Rattus norvegicus: one gene and its partners. The protein of the gene in region 3 interacts with the protein of the main gene of each other region in a pairwise test. Links are inferred from orthologs where the notes say so. Each region holds a gene or a part of one and is shown on either strand. Other genes may lie near its edges. The genes, in order: Eif4e2, Dtx2, Eif4enif1, Efhc1 and Eif4e.

Evidence for each region.
Region 1: the proteins of Eif4enif1 (region 3) and Eif4e2 interact in binary tests that used the Homo sapiens proteins (3 or more experiments, as listed by UniProt). The two-hybrid records come from large-scale screens. The link is inferred for Rattus norvegicus from reciprocal best matches to the Homo sapiens genes EIF4ENIF1 and EIF4E2.
Region 2: the proteins of Eif4enif1 (region 3) and Dtx2 interact in binary tests that used the Homo sapiens proteins (3 or more experiments, as listed by UniProt). The two-hybrid records come from large-scale screens. The link is inferred for Rattus norvegicus from reciprocal best matches to the Homo sapiens genes EIF4ENIF1 and DTX2.
Region 4: the proteins of Eif4enif1 (region 3) and Efhc1 interact in binary tests that used the Homo sapiens proteins (3 or more experiments, as listed by UniProt). The two-hybrid records come from large-scale screens. The link is inferred for Rattus norvegicus from reciprocal best matches to the Homo sapiens genes EIF4ENIF1 and EFHC1.
Region 5: the proteins of Eif4enif1 (region 3) and Eif4e interact in binary tests that used the Homo sapiens proteins (3 or more experiments, as listed by UniProt). The link is inferred for Rattus norvegicus from reciprocal best matches to the Homo sapiens genes EIF4ENIF1 and EIF4E.

Annotation. Positions count from the first base shown.
Region 1 is NC_086027.1:95,347,635-95,350,908, forward strand, and holds the end of Eif4e2 (eukaryotic translation initiation factor 4E type 2), read left to right. Parts: intron 1-570; coding exon 571-723; intron 724-815; coding exon 816-952; intron 953-2,502; coding exon 2,503-2,575; 3' UTR 2,576-2,764; downstream 2,765-3,274. UniProt on the Homo sapiens protein: Recognizes and binds the 7-methylguanosine-containing mRNA cap during an early step in the initiation. Acts as a repressor of translation initiation.
Region 2 is NC_086030.1:26,316,698-26,320,684, reverse strand, and holds the start of Dtx2 (probable E3 ubiquitin-protein ligase DTX2), read left to right. Parts: upstream 1-1,177; 5' UTR 1,178-1,321; exon of another isoform or gene 1,322-1,372; intron 1,373-2,693; 5' UTR 2,694-2,849; intron 2,850-3,987. UniProt on the Homo sapiens protein: Regulator of Notch signaling, a signaling pathway involved in cell-cell communications that regulates a broad spectrum of cell-fate determinations.
Region 3 is NC_086032.1:82,308,239-82,311,755, reverse strand, and holds part of Eif4enif1 (eukaryotic translation initiation factor 4E transporter), read right to left. Parts: intron 2,831-3,517; coding exon 2,598-2,830; intron 1-2,597. UniProt on the Homo sapiens protein: EIF4E-binding protein that regulates translation and stability of mRNAs in processing bodies (P-bodies). Plays a key role in P-bodies to coordinate the storage of translationally inactive mRNAs in the cytoplasm and prevent their degradation.
Region 4 is NC_086027.1:30,882,258-30,885,774, reverse strand, and holds part of Efhc1 (EF-hand domain-containing protein 1), read right to left. Parts: coding exon 3,495-3,517; intron 1,450-3,494; coding exon 1,257-1,449; intron 1-1,256. UniProt on the Homo sapiens protein: Microtubule inner protein (MIP) part of the dynein-decorated doublet microtubules (DMTs) in cilia axoneme, which is required for motile cilia beating.
Region 5 is NC_086020.1:229,768,243-229,771,759, reverse strand, and holds part of Eif4e (eukaryotic translation initiation factor 4E), read right to left. Parts: intron 2,962-3,517; coding exon 2,822-2,961; intron 950-2,821; coding exon 835-949; 3' UTR 1-834. UniProt on the Homo sapiens protein: Acts in the cytoplasm to initiate and regulate protein synthesis and is required in the nucleus for export of a subset of mRNAs from the nucleus to the cytoplasm which promotes processes such as RNA capping, processing and splicing.

The DNA of each region.
Region 1 (3,274 bases), on a different chromosome or scaffold from region 3:
GAAAGTCCTCTCTTCCTTCTGGCTCAGTGAGACATGTTCCTCCAGTGCCTTGGCATCTTCTTCCTGCTTTACATATTAAACTTGTCCCTCAAGACCAGCCTGAGTGTTTCCTCTGCGGTTCCCACTGTATGCTCTCTCACCACACCATGTGCAGATACAGTAGTACTCATTAGGCTGGGTGGCTGTAATTAATTCGTTGTGCGTCTCTCCTCAGCTCCATTGTGCCTGTGTTAAGATCTGAGCTTCTGTCTATGTTCTTGGTACTTAGTGATGGTCAGATTTTAGCAAAAATTGATTATGGCCTGTGGTTGAAATAGTTTCACTGTGGTTCCCGAAATAGTTCAGATAAAGGTGGATACTTTTTAAAAGATCTGTTTAGTCCTTTAAAATTATTTAAATCAATGATTTTTTTTTCTTTTTTTGTTCCCTATTTCTTCTTTTCTTAACATTGAAATAATGTCAGATTGGAAAAGTGGCTAGACTTGACTGTTCTTCAGAAGTATTCTTTGGTATTCGCAGATGACATTGTGGAGCAGTAGTTTACCCGAGACGCTTTCTGTCTTTCTATAGGATGATGCAAATAAAAATGGGGGCAAGTGGATCATTCGACTCCGGAAGGGCTTAGCTTCCCGCTGCTGGGAGAATCTCATCCTGGCCATGCTCGGGGAACAGTTCATGGTTGGGGAGGAGATCTGCGGGGCTGTGGTCTCTGTCCGCTTCCAGGTAAGCCAGCCCAGGCCATTGTTCTTTCTGAGTCGCCGCCATTCTCATTGCTATTTCTGTTGGTTTGGTAATTCATTCTGTTCCTCCCTTAGGAGGACATTATTTCTATATGGAATAAGACTGCCAGCGACCAAGCAACCACAGCCCGAATCCGGGACACTCTTCGGCGCGTGCTTAACCTACCTCCCAACACCATTATGGAATACAAAACTCACACCGACAGCATCAAGTACGTGTTGGGGGGTTTGGGGGGGACAGGTCCCTGAGCTTAGCAGAGTTAACTCCATAGTTGGTCCCAGACAAATGTGGTCACATGACACTGACTTGTGATGCAGGGACATATCAGCCCCCTCCAGGGCTTTGGCCACTTGCTGAAGTTCTTATTAGTGAGGCTCCGAGGACCTACTGTGAGGTGCTGTGAAGCAAAGGGCCCTTCTTCAAAACCCAGTTTTCCTGCCTGGGCTGGCTTCTTTTCTACAGGCTATCTTGTCTTTCTTATGCTAACCACTATTTTAAAATGAAAGACAAAGCTCTTTCAGAAGTTTCTCTGTCTGTTTTTAAAAACAATTATTGAACAATAAAATCCTCTTCCCTGCCCACCCTGACCCCACCTTTGCATGTCTGTTTAACCTGTTAGCCTAGTCTGTTCTCTTTGTCTTGGGAGATTGACTTCTTACCAGGAGTGGTGACTCTATTTTGTATGTATAGAACTGGAGTCTAGATACAGTACAGTAGGTTGTGAGAGAGGAGAAGGGAAGGTAGAGCCACAGGAGAAAGAAGCTTTGTATCCCACTGAAGACAGTGAGTGCTCTCCACATGGAGAATCACTGGTGAGGGCTTCTCCTTCAGGGACAGTGACAGAGATGAGCTCAGGTCATTATGAATGGCTTCTAGATTGTCTCAAAGGTGGAAGGAAAACCAGCCACCAGGAGTCAGGTCTTTATGTTCATTGTCTCCTGTGGCCCTGAGCCAGTATGTGCCTTTGGCAAGTCTCTGCAACTGTATCAGTTTCTCCAGCTATGAGGTGGGAGTACAGAAATAAATAGTAAGGTTGTGGTTAGGCTGGTCTAATCTTTGTAACTGAAGGTCCTCAGAGCAAGAAAGCTTTTACGGACCAAGTATCATTGCTGTCGTCATTAGTGCAGTGCCATCATCATGCCATTCCTATTCAAGACTAATAGTAAGACAGTAGTTGTATCAGCAGCAGTAGACTATGTGAGACTCTTTCCCACGTGTTCACATATGATGTCGTGGTGGAGTTCACTTATACCAGCTAGGTGCCAGTTTTTGACTGGGAGGACTGCCATAGGCTGGTCCTATATCAGATGGCTCTGACTCACTGGAGCCACCAGCACTCATTTGCCATCTGTGGCCTTGGTTGCTTGTCTCAATAATCCTGTGTCAGCACTGTTTTTCTTAGAGCAGGTCTGTCTTACACTCTGCTGCCAACAGAGATAGTATCTGCCCTCCTGCTAGGTTAGTCCAAGCTCAGAAAGTCTACATCTTTCCCTAGGATTCTTGTTTGCTGGGTTCCCATTTAACCTGGTTAGGAAAGGGAAAGAGTAGTTTCCATTCACTCCCCACTGTTCCCCCTTTCTGATACCTGGAGGCAGTTCATCTTGACTTGTAAAGTCCCATAAACAAATCCTTCCAGGACCTAGGAGCCTCCGGGACTCCTGCCCTGCAGCTGTAGCACCCTCCTCAAGACCCAGATGCAACTTTCCCTTGCTCCCCACTCTCTTTCCTCTCCCAATGAGCTACCTTTTGCACTTCCACTAGAATGCCAGGCAGGCTGGGCCCCCAAAGGCTCCTTTTTCAAAACCTCTGGAAGCCGCGATTGAATGTGCCATGACACTCTCCCTCTCTGGATGGCACCATCATTGAAGCTGGCGTCATCGGAGTCTCTTGTTCTGTTGGCGTGCCACCTGGAAGACCCTTCTGTCCTGGACAAGAGGAACGGAAGAGCATGTTACCTTTGAGAACAGGCTGACAGCAGCAACTACTACAACAGCTGAGATCACAAATAAATGGTGCTAAACCAGCTTGTCTCATGCTCTTGCTCTTTATGGTGCATCAAGATGTGGCCTCTGGATTGACTGTCACCACTATCAAGGGATGGCATACAGACTTCTCCATGCAGGGCCTGGATTCAGGGAACGCAGCTTCATAGCCACAAGCCCATTGTGTATTCATGGTACTTTATTCCAGGACTGTTGTGGTCTGACATTAAATAAGGAGGAGACGTCTAACTCTCAAGACCCAACTGCCTGGTGCTCAAGTGTACTAGTTTCCATCCAGTTAGACTGATGGCTGGCCCAGAGTGGCGGCTGAGTTCAGGGCCAGTTTGAAAGTCTCGTATGGTTGGAAAGGGGTATCCTTGGCTTTTCTTTGCTAACTTCCATTTGCCTTTAGTTCATAGAAATCTCTTGCTTGGAGCTAAAGCCCTGCTTCTGTCTGTCTGTGGCCATACATACATACTTTTTTTGCTTTGTGCTGATGGGGTATTCTCTCTGGTGCCAAAGCTGCTTGGCAACCTCCTCCCTTTCCTTGC
Region 2 (3,987 bases), on a different chromosome or scaffold from region 3:
TGCACCAGGAAATGCCAGGTGCCATCCATTCATCAGAAGTAATGAGCAAAGCAGCTCTGTCTTATCAGACTGTCCCTCTGGAGCGTCAGATGGAGACCAATTAGCAGAGGCAGGAAGCAACACAATTCTGCCTTTCCAAGCAAAACAGTAGCAACTCCCCCAGCCCCCTCCCCCGCCCTCCGCCCGCGCGCTCCACAGTGCCGGCGCTGAGGCCAGGTCTCCTTGACTTCTCTGGCTGTGCTCTCCTTTTTGCTGGGTGAGCTGGGAGCAGATTCTGGGGAATGGAACAGGCTCTGTCACGTGAATTTTAAGGACTTCTTTTGCAAATCCAGGGTCTCCTACCTACTTGCCAGATTAAGTGCTCTACCACTGAGCCATGCCACCATAAGACAAGGCTTAACATTTTTAATAGATTACTTTCTTATTTTTAAATTTAAATGTACGTTTCTTAAGACTGTGCTTGTAGGGGTTGGGGATTTAGCTCAGTGGTAGAGCGCTTGCCTAGCAAGCGCAAGGCCCTGGGTTCGGTCCCCAGCTCCGGAAAAAAAAAAAAAAAAAAAAAAAAAAAAGACTGTGCTTGTAAGCTCAGCAGTTAGGAAACAGAGGCAGGAGATTCAGGAGTTTAAGGCTAGCCTTGGCTACATAGCAAATTCAGAGGGGGTATATGAGATCCTGAACCCCCTCCACCCCCAAAAGGTGAATCTTACAGCTGGGGATTCATTAGTACTAGAACACTTGTCTGAAGTGCTTGCAATAACTTTGGTCGTCTAAAGTGCTTGCATTAACTTTGATCCTCAACACCACAAAAAGAAAAATCAGGGGTTGGCAATATGGCTTAGAGAGTAAAGGCATTTGCTGACAAGCCTGACACCTTGAGTTCGATCCGTGGAACCCACGTGAAGGTGGACGCGGAGAAGGGGCTCCTAAAGTTGTTCCTTGACCTCTATAAGTACACCCACCTCCAGAATATACACACATAATAATAAAAAGAGATATAAAAATTATTAAAAATCAAATGCATCAGTAATTAATGAAGGAGTAAATCAGTAGGAGAAAGAGAAGGAAGGCTGGGTACCTTTACAACAGCTGGTGCGCTTTGGTTCAGCCCACTCAGCTTCACCAGAACTACATTTCCCAGAAGGCACCGCGCGAGGGGGACATGCGCAACGCGGCGCTTGGAGGCTGCGACGCCGAGTTTCACTCCGGCTGCCTCCTGCTCGGAGTCGGAGATATACTCGGGGGTTCTTCCCAGGCCGAGCCGGAGCTGAGCCCGGAGGTCGGCGCTCCTCTCAACCTGTTCCTTCTGCTTCCCTCAGACTCGGTGAGCGGGACGGGCGAGCCACCTGCTGGCGCCCAGGCTAGGGTCCTGAAGGTGGGTGGGTGGGTTGAGGAGAGGGGGCTATTGAGCCAAGCTGAGACCGGAAGGGGGCGGTCGTGCGAGGGAGGGAGGGCCGTGCCGGCGGGTTGGGTGAGTCCTGGGGGCGTTGGGAGCCCTGGGCACCGGGTACCAGGGTCCTGGAGGCGGGAAGTCGCAGTTGGGACGCTCTGAGCGTTGGGGACCGGCTGGGTGTGGTGAGAGCCTTATATTTGCAGAGACGGGGGTCGCATCTCTGGCAGTTTGAGTCCTACAGGACCTGGAAGAGCCGTGAGGCTATTGCTACCCTGGTTCCCTGAGGGGACAGTTTTAGTCATCCAGGCGATAGTGATCCACCACTGGCTGAGAGTTGGACTTTGGGGGCGTTTGCCTTTCCATTCTCGGTCTCTGTCAAACTGGGTCCCCGGGGCACTTTGGGGTGTCTCTGTTTTGAAGCTCCGCTTTTCATCCTTTCCCTCAGACAGCCGCAGGGTTGCCCATATTAGCTTTGCCTCCACAGTGGCGTAAATACGAATGTGTACACAGGCAAGACATTTAAGGAACTCCATACCATCTTGGCCCCTTTAAAGTTCTAGAGAGCCGAGCGATGTGTTGCATGCTTGTAATCCCAGCATTTGGGAGACCAGGGCTTGAGGGTAGTTTAAAGCTTGCCTGTGCTGCATAACAAGATACTATATTACACACACACACCCACACTCCCAAAAAGTGTTAGCCAGGTATGGTGATTTATGCCTGTAATTTCAGTACTTGTGAGGCAGAAGCATGAGACTCAGGAGTTCCAATCTAGCCCTAAGCTATATACTGTGGACCCTGCTCAAAAAAAAAAAAAAAAAAAAAAAACCAAAAAACAAAACATTTAGCACAAGGCCCTGGGTTCGGTCCCCAGCTCCGAAAAAAAGAAAAAGAAAAAAAAAAAAAAAAAACAACCCACCAAAAAAAGAAAAAGTAAGAGTTCTGTGATGTAGACTTCCCTCCCAGTAGCCAAGAAAGTGAGGGTTGACGTCAGCTGCTTGGGTATCTAGTCTCTTTGCTTATTTACAGTGTGACTTTGGTCAAATTTTTACCCTCTCTGGGTTGATTTACTTCATGGACCGCCCGTGGGACTTCCTTCTGAGGTCCTCATATGGGCTTTTCTGGGAAAGGGCTTAGTTGAGGGGACTGAGAAAAACTGTCCCTACTTTGTGCTCCCTGCCCAGGCTGTTGTACAATAAGCCTGGTGGTTTCCAGTCGCCTGCCACAGCACACGGGACCCAACATCTGTGCGCTCGTTTTCTCTTGCCGTTTCTTCATTGAGGACTTAATCATCTTTTTGGCAAAGGTACCTCGGAATTGGTGTGGCTGAGTCAGCAAGCCCTCGGATTTTCCCGGTTCTTGTTTGCTGTTCATATCAAGATGGGAGCCCAGACAAGTTATTGCTTCTGACGATCTCCATCAAGAAGGGACAGTTTGGTGCCAGCCCTTCAGTGAAGAGGAGGTGAGAGCCATGGGGAAATCAACCTTGCTGCTTTTGAAAGCTGGTTTCAAAGGAGGTGGGTGTGGGCATGGAAGGGAGATGGCTCAGTCCATACAGTGCTTGTCTGGCAAGCAGGAGGGTCCAGATTCGCTTTCCAGAACCAACGTAGAAAGCCTGGCATGGTGGTTTGTGCTTGCGCTTTTCTGCTAGGGAGGAGACAGGTGAATCCCTGCGGTGTGCTAGGCAGTCAACCAGCCTAGGTTGATGGCACCTGCAGAACTGTAGCCCAGGCTATCCCCTAGCCTCCAGGAACCCCTAGTGCATCTGTGCACACACGCACATTGCTTTTCTACAGACACATACATAACGAAGCAGGCCGCATGGACGGTGGGATTCTGGGGTTCCAGGAGTGAAGTGAGGCCTGGGAGTTGATTGTTGATTGCCAGCTGTTGCAAATAAATTCATTTGGCTCCTTGCCAGCGCTGCTTCTGTCTAACCAGTCTTAGAGGATACATCCTTCCTTAGACATGCCTTATGGGCTGGAAACAGCTTCGGTAAAGTGCTTAGCCAGCATACAAGACCTGGGTTCAAGCCCCAGCACTTCAAAACGTTTATTTTTTATTATTGTGCGGGCCCTGGTGCACGTGTGGAGGTGACAGGGCAGTTTGCAGGAGTCACGTCTCCCTAGCAGGTAAGTTCTGGAGATCTAAGTCAAGTAATCATAATTGGCAGTAAGTACTTTTACCCGCCAAGCCATCTGACTGGTCCTGCCTTTTTTTTTTTTTTTTTTTTTTTAAAGAAATAACGCTATCCCTACTGCACAAATCTGACCACCTGGCTTCTATCCTTGGCTTCCACGGTGGAAAGAGAGACTGGATTCCCGAAAACCATCCCTTCTACACTCCTCCATTTCAAACACAAGCCCACATTCACACAAAAATAATAAATTAAAAAGAAAATAATGCCTAGCAAGGTGATGGATGCTTGTCATCCCACACTCGGGAGGCTTAGGTAGAACTGAAGGTTTGAGGTAAGCCTGGGGTATGTAGCCAGTTCACCCTTGCATGGTGGTATAAGTTGCAATCCCAGCATTCAATAAACTGAGGCAAGAGGATCATGAGTGTGGGGCCATCCTTGGATACGTAGTGAATTCTAACCC
Region 3 (3,517 bases):
TATCAGATGCACAGAGTCAGATGAGAACTAGTACCCAGCAGTAGACAGAGCAGGAGCTCAAATGCAAACCAAGCCAGCACAGATACAATTCTGAATCTGTGTAAATATTTACCTAGCCGCTTATTATCAGGGGTCAGAAGCTCACTTCACCACCATACCTGAAGCTACATGTGCACAACAGCACGACACTCTAATATCAAACCAAGTGTGTTCACAGCTGAAGGTCAATATTGTGCAAAACCAATCAAAGGTTGAGATATGAAATACTGAACTCCCTTCTCTCTCCCTTTTTTCCTTCAAGACAGAGAGTCTGTCTATGTAGCACAAGCTGGTCTCAAACTTGCCCTTCTCCTGCTTCCTCCCCCACTGCTCCCAGCTCTTTTGCCTCCACCTCTGGAGACTCACGCTGAAAGGAGAAAGCAACCCTATGGCAGGATTTGAATGAAAACTAATCAGTGACAAACCCCAGGGCTGGAGAGACAATCATCAGGTAAAGTGCCTGTTGTCAAGTCCAACAATCCGACATCAACTCCACGGTTTAGTGTGCAAAGAGAAAACGACTCTCTCAAGTTGTCCTCTGACCTCTACACACGTTGTGGCACACATGCCCATAAGAATACATACATGCACTCAAAATACTTTGTAAAAGGACATAGTGAATCAAACATTTATTGCTGTTCACACGTTTTGTAGTTCCTAGCCAAAAAGGGTTGAGGAGGAAAAGAGGCAAATTCAATTTGACAGACTTGATATAGCAGAGCAACTGAGTCTAGGTTTCATCCTTCAGATCTGTCTTGCTTCCCAATCATTCTGTATACAAGTGATAGGGCCACATTAACACTGAGCTGAAACTCACTCTAAACACCATTATGATGGAAATCAGTGCATGTTATAAATCAGTGCGTGTTATAAACCTGCATTATGGCTGGAGAGCCGACTCAGTAATTAAAGCTAGGGGAGCAATCTACAATATAAAACAAACTGCAACTTGAAATACAAACAAAACCAATTGCAGCTTCTTACTATTAGTAAATTAACAGTATAATTGTCTTGTAAAAAACACTACCATGGCCAGGTGTGCTGGACAGACCTCTAATCTGAACACTCAGGAGGCAGAGGCAGGCAGATCTCTGAGTTCTGAGTTAGAGGCCAGCCTAGTCTACAGCATGAGTTTCAGGACAGCCAAGGCAACATAGAGAAACCTGTCTTAACAAACTAAACTAAATTAAAATAAAACAAACAAAAAACCCTCACATCTTTAATATATACTGAGAGAGATACAGAGTGGGGGGGGAGGGGGAAGAAGGGGGGGAAACAGACAGACAGTGTGTGTGCACCTTTCTAGATCAGGCTATCCTTTGAATTTGGAATTATTCTGCCTCCAGTTTCCAAGTAGTGATGGAACTATCAGTCTTTACCACCATGCTCAGCTCCACCTTTGGTATTTTAATTGATTTAGTTAAATTTAATTAATCAGTCTAATCAAGAGAACAGGCAATCTAGATATTTGAGTATATACAAAGTGTGACAATAAAGACTTTACTGTAGGGAGCTGGTGAGGCTGCTCAGTGGTTAGCACACAGGCTGCTCTTCCAGTGAACAAATATTCCTTCACCCACATGGAGGCTCGGAACCATCTGAAACACCAGTCATAGGGGGGCCTGATGCCCTTTTCTGGCCTGTGTGCACCAGGCATGCAAGTAGTGCACAGACACACACACAAACTAAATGCTCATACAAATATAATTAAATAAATCTTGTAAAATTTTATTATAACATTATCTACAGTTAGGCAGTGATGGTTCATCATTAATCTCAACACTTGGAAGGTAGAAGCTGGGAGATCTTTGAGTTTGTCCCCAGCCTGGTTTACAGAGTGAGTTCTAGGACACCTAGGGCTACACAGAGAAACTATCTTAGGGGGAAAAAAAAAAAAACGAAAACAAAATAAAACAAATGGGTATCAGGTGGTCCTACCTGGCCCTGAGCTCCTGCCCTCACAGACACTAGGGTTAGAAGCACACGTCACTATGCCCAGTTCAGCACAAGGGATCAATTTCTTTTTTTCCTCTCCTTTTTGCATAGATAACCCCACATATTAGATATGTGTATCTCCAAACAGGGCTAAAATCTACAACTCAGTCCTTCCCTTCTTAGGAAAGACTTCATAGAGGCACTGCATTAACTGACGCAGACTGAATTAGTTGGCCACACTACTGTCCCAAACACACACACCATCAGATATGCCTCTTCTAATAACAAATCAATATCCATAATTAAGGGACAAACAAAGACCAAACAACTTCTAAAGAAAATGCAGGGCTGGAGAGATGGCTGAGGGGTCAAGGGCACTGACTGCTCTCCCAGAGGTCCTGAGTTCAATTCCCAGCAACCACACGGTGGCTCACAACCATCTGTAATGGGATCCGATGCCCTCTTCTGGTGTGTCTGAGGACAGCTACAGTGTACTCATCTACATAAAATAAATAAAACTTTAAAAAAAAAAGAAAGAAATTTGCAAACTACTCGGATACCTGCATCAAACCTATTTATTACTGCAGTGGGAGAGGCTGGGCGAGGTTGTACCGAATACTTACACTGACTTTGGGCTGGGTAGGCAAAGTCCCACTTGCCTTCATGGTGTTCACTAGTTTGTTGAATGCAGTCATATCTCCATCTTTCTTGAGCTGCCGATTGCTAGTCACAGCACTCAGGGTCTCCTCTAAATGTTCTGCCATGAAGGGAGTTGAATTCTTTATTTGCTGGTCCACCTTCAAGCCCTTCAGCCCGGCTTCTACCTCTTCCACTGAAAGTACAACCCCTGAATGTGCTGAGAAGTTGAGAAAGTTCTTATTACACCAAGCAAAGGGTGTTGAGGAAGAATTCTCATTGGCTACCAATGACAACTATTTCGTCACTGTAGTGAGGCTGTCCAAAAGGCTGACACTGAAATAGACAGACGGAACACTTAAAATGAATTTGTTAGGAATAAGGCTGAAATCACACACTTCGAAGGAGACGGTGAGCACTCAAGGAGGCATAGTGAGCTCCAGGACAGCAAGGACTAAACAGACCTAGTCTCAAAAACAAAAAGGGGATAATAGAGGGGGAGAGTGACACCTGTGGGAAGAAATGACTCAGTGATGAAGAGTCCACATTGTCTTACAGAGGATCTGACTTCAATTCCCAGCAGCCGCACCAGACAGCTCACAACTGCCCATAACTCTAGAGTCAGAGACCCTGTATCTCTCATCACCTTGGGCACATACAGAGTCTCACTTTCATTTTTTGAAGTCTGGTCTTTGATTATCTATTGTAATGCTAAATACAGGCCTTTTGTTATCTATTGTAATGCTAAATACCGGCCTCCCAGGACCTGGTTGTCCCAAAGATGTAGACTGTGCTCCCAAATCATTTCTGGTTGGTAAATAAAGATGTCAACAGCTAATAGCTGGGAAGAGAGATATAAGTGGGGTTGAGGTTTACTGGGTTGGGGTCAAAGAGAACCATGAGGTGA
Region 4 (3,517 bases), on a different chromosome or scaffold from region 3:
ATTCTCAACTGCTAAGTCTCTACAGCCTATAGCAAACTTTTATATTGCTGTGGTATCTATTGTAATGTCTCCCTTCTTGCTGATGATTCAGAGTTTTCTCTTTTTCCTTAGTCCAGCTACAGGACAGCCAATTTTGTTCATATTTCTTGGAAAAACAAACTATTTTAATGATCCTTTGTATTTTTTCTTTTCATTTGTTTTATTTATTTTTTGCTCTTATTCTCTCTTTTCTCCCTCTCTCCCCCCCCTAACTTACAGATTGTTTTGCTTCTGGTTTTCTAGTTCTCTGGTATGCATCAATTGCTTATTGAGATCAGCGTGAACCAGAGAGCATGCAAAAATGATTGTCCATCTCCCCAGCTCTCCACTCCGGGCAAAGATAGGTTTAGACTCTTAAGACACAGGTCCCAGCTTTCCAATGTTCACCATGGATACTAAGTGGATTTTACTTGAGGCAAATGTTACAGTATCTCATTTGACTTTCTGTTTTTCTGCAGCCTAATGATACTTCTTAAGACCTAACTGTTGACTTTTTGCATAAAGCCTATTTATTGCTTCTAATTACTATATCAAAACCAAGATATAAAGCTGGGCCTGGTGGCACACACCTTCGATCCCAGCACTGGCACAGGAGTGCTGTCTATGCAGTAGGCTCCATGTTAGGCAATGTTACTTAGTAGGATGCTAAGTAACTTACTTGGCTTAGTTAAGAGTCAAAGGTTCCAACGCATACAATGAAATGAAGTTAAGATTAAGTGCTCCGTGGGCCTTGGATGTAGGTCTGATGTGCCAGCCCAGGCAGGAGTGAAAGATCAAGGCCAGGCTGGGGTGCAGAGTGAGGGGAAGGTCATCTTGGAAACTTAGGGAGGCCTTGACTAAAAATAAAAAGAGGAGAGAGGGCTGGGGTGTAGCTGAGTGTCCAAGTGATTCCCTGGCATGGACTCCCAAGTGTCACCGAGACAAACGTGTGACCCCAACACTAGATGGGTTCAGTCTAAGAGCCTTGCTCTATCCATCTTTAAATGAATTATCTGCCGCGTGGTTTTGCTTTTATCCGTGTCAAGTCATCTCTACTAGAGAATGAAGGAGGTATGCCTGGTCTAAAAGGAAAATCACAGAAAAACCATTGTTAAAAAAGGAAGAATGCACCAACGTGTTCATTCATGTTAGTACAAAAGACTAACCCCACTGACGACTGGCTCCCTCGAACTCCCCAAACCTCCCTAATAACAGAGGACACGTCTAATCCAACTTACTTCCGTTATCCACCAAAACTTTGGGCATGCGCTGTCGGTTCATGAGGAGTGGGAAGGGGTCCCTCCCGTTGTTCCGTTCGTGGACCTCACGGATCTCCACAGTGTCATCCATGAGGTAGTAATGAATGATGTAGTGGCGACACTCTCCAAACAAGCTATCCGTGTCGTCCCAGATCGCGTAGAATCGAAGGACCTTTGAGGAGTCCAAAGTGGTGACTTAAGATTCTAAAGCACAGTTTTAACTGCTTTGACAAGTGTCTGTCAGACAATGAAGTGCAGTGGTTAAAACACTTTCTGACAGGAAATTAGAAAAAAAAATCAAGGATACACAAATACACAAAAAAATCATGTACCACGTCTTGCCTTACCAGCTGGAAAGAATAACACAAGTCTTCTAAGTTTCTGCCAAGAAAGGAGAGCTTACTTAGGCCCCGAATATTTGTCTGGGAAAGAGAAGCTGAATTAAAAAAAAAAACAGTGGAGTTTCCTATAAAGGATTTATGCATAGTAGCAAAGATACATGACGAATTATGGATATAGAGCTGGCGTGGAAGGAATTCTCATAATCAGCCTGTCAAAACACACCCACTGGTAATAGGACGGACAGAATCTTCTAATTTAAAGCAACAGCAGAAAGCCAGGTGTGGTGGTGCACGCCTGTAATCCGAATGCATGGGATGCCGAGGCAGGAAGACCGTGAGTTCAAATCAAGCCTGGGATACATTGCTAACTTGAGGCCAGTCTGGGCTATTTAGTGAAACTTTGTCTCAAAAAAGAAATAAGCAAATTAGTCACTTAATTAATTAATAAAGATTAGGGTGTGGTATACGCCTTTAATTCTAGCATTCTCAACACAGTCAACTAACAAGCCAACTAAACAACAACAAACAAACAAACAAACAAACAAAAAACAAAAACCAGCAGCAAAATCCACAATACTAAGTCCATGCTAACACTGGGTAGAACTTTCTGAAATAAAAAAATTAAGCTTTCAGGAAGTTACGCCAATAACTTCAGAGTAATCACTGTCGTTAATTCTCTTCCCTTTATGGGTGAAAGAAGATTCAGATGTGCCTCTCTGCTGAATTGGGGGCTAGAAAGCTGGGCCAGAGTCAGAAAGGGCTCAGAGCCTTCTGAATTCTAGCTGACACTAATGAAATATTCAGCAGGGATACATGCGAGGTGGGATTCCCGAAGCATCCACGAGAATATTTTAATTAACTATTTTATTTTAATAACTATGTAGTGTCGGAATAAATATATAACAGCTTTCAACTTTCCCCCAGATTCATGTAAGCCTTCCCAGAAGCTTCTGTGAGATTAACTCACCAGGCAGTACTGTGCAAACTCATTTCTATGTCAGCTTGTCATAAGCTAGAGTCATCAGAGAGCTCTGGGAGAGCCTCAGTGGAGAAAATGTCTCCATGAGATCAGGCTGTAGGCAAGCCTGTTAGGTATTTCTTAATTAGTGATTCATTGGGGGAGGGGCCAGCCCATTGTGGGTGGTACCACTCCTGGGCTGGTGGTCCTGGGTTCTATAAGAAAGCAGGCTGAGCAAGCCATGAAGAGCAAGCCAGTAAGCAGCACCCCTCCATGGCCTCTGCATCAGTTCCAGCCCCTGGGTTCCAGCCTTGCTTGAGTTCCTGTCCTGACTTCCTCCAGTGATGAACTATGATATGGAAGAGAAGGAAAATAGACCCCGTCTTCCTCAAGCTGCTTTTGGCCCTGATGTTTCATCAGGACAAGAGCAACCCTGACTAAGACAGAGAAACGGAAGTGGGGAATTTGAAATGGAAAGAGAAGTAGATGCGTGTGGCTCAGGAATTGCTTTACCATGAGAACACATGGATGGATTTACAAGATGTCAACGGATGCCTTTATATCTCTAATAATAAAGCTGAGGGCCTGCCAGATGGCCCACTAGGTAATGGAGCTTGCTACCAAGCCTGACAACCTGAGTTTCATGCCCAGGACCCACAGGACAGAATGAGAGGACCACTGCCCAGAAGTTGTCCTTTGACTCCAGTAGGAATGGCATACACTTGCACATCCAAAAATTAATAAAATGTAATAAAATGTTTAATACATTTAAAAAGTAGAGATATAGGCATAGTTTTAGCCCTATATGGAACCACTGTGTGACAATGGTTAAATTATATGCAGGCTATCAAAGCAGTTTTCCCATAAACACATGTCCACATTCAATCAGGAGTGATCCTACTCGATTAGGTGACTTACTTGTTTGTCAAAGGTGAGAAACT
Region 5 (3,517 bases), on a different chromosome or scaffold from region 3:
AAGTGTTAAAGTACAGCATAAAGATACAAAAGCAGACAACTAATTCTAGTTAGGAATGTAATTATGGTGTTACATTTTTATAGTCCACAATTATGTTTAGGGATCACACAGACATAGATCACTGATTTGAATGAAATGCATAAATTTGTAGCAAAGCTTTGTAGTTACAAAAAACAAAAAAATTACCAAAGAATGCACAAATGTAATGTTTATTCCACCTTTCTGTCATAGTCCTGGATCCTTCACCAATGTTACATGAGGAAAAAAACAAAAGCAAAACAAATGAAAAACTGAAATCAGAATCACTAATGTTATCAAGGAGGGAAGCAAATAAATTAACATCTAGCAGCCATCAGCAAGAGGACAGCAAGGACAATGCTGTGACAGAAAACAGAAGGTTGCTAGAAAGCTGTACTTAGACTCTCACACCAGCAAATCCGCTCCTGCATGGAGTGGAACAAAACCAGATCTTTTCCTGCTAAGGTGACAGAAATGCACGTTCTTTTTCGAATACTGTGGAAAGGCAAGTGTGTGTCGTGGTAACTCTACCCGGCTGTTACAGAGCGGGCCAGGAACACATCTGTGGGTTCTGGGGTGACGTATACTGTAATTCTTTGATTGGGATGGTGGACACACTAGCAAAAATTGGGGTGGGGGAGGAGAATGAACACAGAAGTACAAGACAAAGGCGAATGAGACTTCTCTTATATCTTAGCAACACTTGGATGGAGTCAGCTTCAGTGCAGTCCACTCTGCTTTGATGAGGCTTTGGTTCAGCTCCCAATCTCGATTGCGTGACGCAGTCTCCTGTGAGGATACTCAGAAGGTGTCTTCTTAAACAACAAACCTATTTTTAGTGGTGGAGCCGCTCTTTGTAGCTGTGTCTGCGTGGGACTGATAACCAATCACTATCTTCGGAGGAAGTCCTAACCTTTCCTTGTATACCCTCCTACAAGACACAGGAGACAAGAAACATTAGTATTTCTTTAAAAAAGAAAAAGGATTTAAATGCATTTTATAAAGCTGTAGTGTATTAGTCGATGCATTAAAAATGCAAATCAAAATGTGTTCATTTTCTTTCAGTATAACTAGCAAAATTAAAAATTAGTCTTTACTTTCACAACTATACTTTAATCATGTTACAGACAACTGGAATCCCACCAGGTTTGTCTTTATTATTACTACTAATAAAAAGGTACGATTATACCAAACAGAAACGGGCAAATCAGAATCAGCTCACGGGCTCACAGCAATTGCTTGGTTAACATAGCAAGATCCTATCTCAAAAAGTAAAATAAAAATTCTATTTACATATGAATTCTATTTTGCCTTATGTATCAACTTCACAAACCAATTTTCAAATTAGTTGTGACTACTTTAAAAATAAAATGTGATGTGTACTAAACAGGGCTTAGGTATATGACTATCAACTACAATTCAGAGGGTCTAAAGCTCATCTGCAGTATTAGAGAAATCTCTCCTTAAAAGGCCAAAAGGGGGCTGGGCATTGTGGTGCGCGCCTTTAATCACAGCACTTGGGAAGCAGAGGCAGGCACATCTCTGGTTTACAGCGTGAGTTCTGACAGAGCCAGGGCTAGGTACACAGAGACCCTGCTTCAAGTGGGTGGGTGGGTGGAGGGATGTCGAGGTGTTAACAGTCTAATCTTCAGGGAATGAAACACATCTAAAGGTTGAGAAGAAACAACAAAAGCTATAAAAATGAAAGCTGTGTGGCTAGATTGTAAGTGGGTATAAAATAAGACCGACAAAAACCTGAGAAAAGAGCAGAGAACTTAATTTTTAATCTTAGAAAGAAATAATACAGAACATTCAAAAAACAAACAGTAAAACTAAAACAAAAGTGCCATTTCCACAGTTTTACCCCTGGCAGAATCATACTTCTTCCAAAGTTTTTTTGTTTTTGTTTTTTTTTTAAGGCAATTAGTATGAAATGACATTGTAACAGTTTTTTTAAAAATACTCTTTACTATTAAAAAATGTACGTGTGTGTGTGTGTGTGTGTGTGTGTGTGTGTGTGTGTGTGTGTGTGCGCGTGCGTGCGTGTGCGCGCACACAGCAACAAGAAGTTAAACTGTGTCAGCTGGAAGCATTGAAAAACTTTTTCCTTGGAAAACTGAAGTTAAGATGTATACAGATCATCAACAACTTAGAAAGCACAAGCCTCTTCTAGGTAGTTATAAAACTTCAAAACATCTAATACTGACACAAAAAGTTCTGTAGCAATTTCTGTTTTTTGAAGAAATACAACACTGCTAACAGGTCAATGTTAATACTAAAAGATGAAAAATGACAAGTCAACAATGACTCATTGCAAATTCCACTTAGAATCAAACTTCATTTTGCTTTTTACTAATTTTCATGTAATCAAAGAGACTTCTAGCAAAACTTATGTGTATGAATTATAAAAAATAAAATTTTCAACAGAGAAACTTATAAACACATGGGCTCTAAGTATGGGAGGAAGCTGTCCTAGACAGTGCATGCACCACCAGTGCAAAGCCATGTTACAGCAATAGAAAAGACAAACACATTCAACGTTAACAGGATCCAAACTTGTGTCCAGGAAAACATTTTTTTTTTTTTTGGTTCTTTTTTTTTTTTCGGAGCTGGGGACCGAACCCAGGGCCTTGCGCTTCCTAGGTAAGCGCTCTACCACTGAGCTAAATCCCCAGCCCCCAGGAAAACATTTACGAAGAAAATAAAAAGTTTATAAATCCAACTGTCTAAAGCTATGTATGTAAAGGACGTCTACATTTAGTTAATAAATAGTCAAGGAAGCAAGGAGGGGAGCACAACGCACCCTATGTGTGTGACTGCATCTCTGTTTTCACATTCAGTCGTCCATATTGCTATCTTATCACCTTTAGCTCTAACATTGACAACAGCTCCACACACGTCATCACTGTAGTCATCAAAAGATTCTCCAATAAGGCACAGCAGCTAAAAATAAAACAAAAATAGCAAATTACATTGACTATATAGATCATCAACAACTAAGAAGAAAGCGCAGGACTCTTAGGGATAGTTATAAAACTAAACTAATTCTAATCAACAACTGACATCTGACATTGGTCAGGAAGAGGCAGCATTGGCAAGTCTGAAGCTATCCTGATCTAGACACAAGAAAGCAAATGAGTAAGATCTGACTGCGTTTTGTTGTGAAGACAGGACACACATGTTGTGGCAAACCAATGGAGGTAAGAGAGCAGTGGGTTCTGGGAATTAAACTCAGGTAGTCAGACTTGGAAACAAGCACCCTTACCTAAAGAATCACAGAGCAGTTTACAAAATGACTTTTTTTTTTTTTTTAAATATTTCATTTATTTAGTATATATGAGTACATTGTCGCTGTCTTCAGATGGTTGTGAGCCACCATGTGGTTGCTGGGAATTGAACTCAGGACCTCTGGAAGAGCAGTCGGTGCTCTTAACCACTGAGCCATCTCTCCAGCCCTACAAAATGACTTTTAAAAAAATAAATAAAAAACAACAAAGCC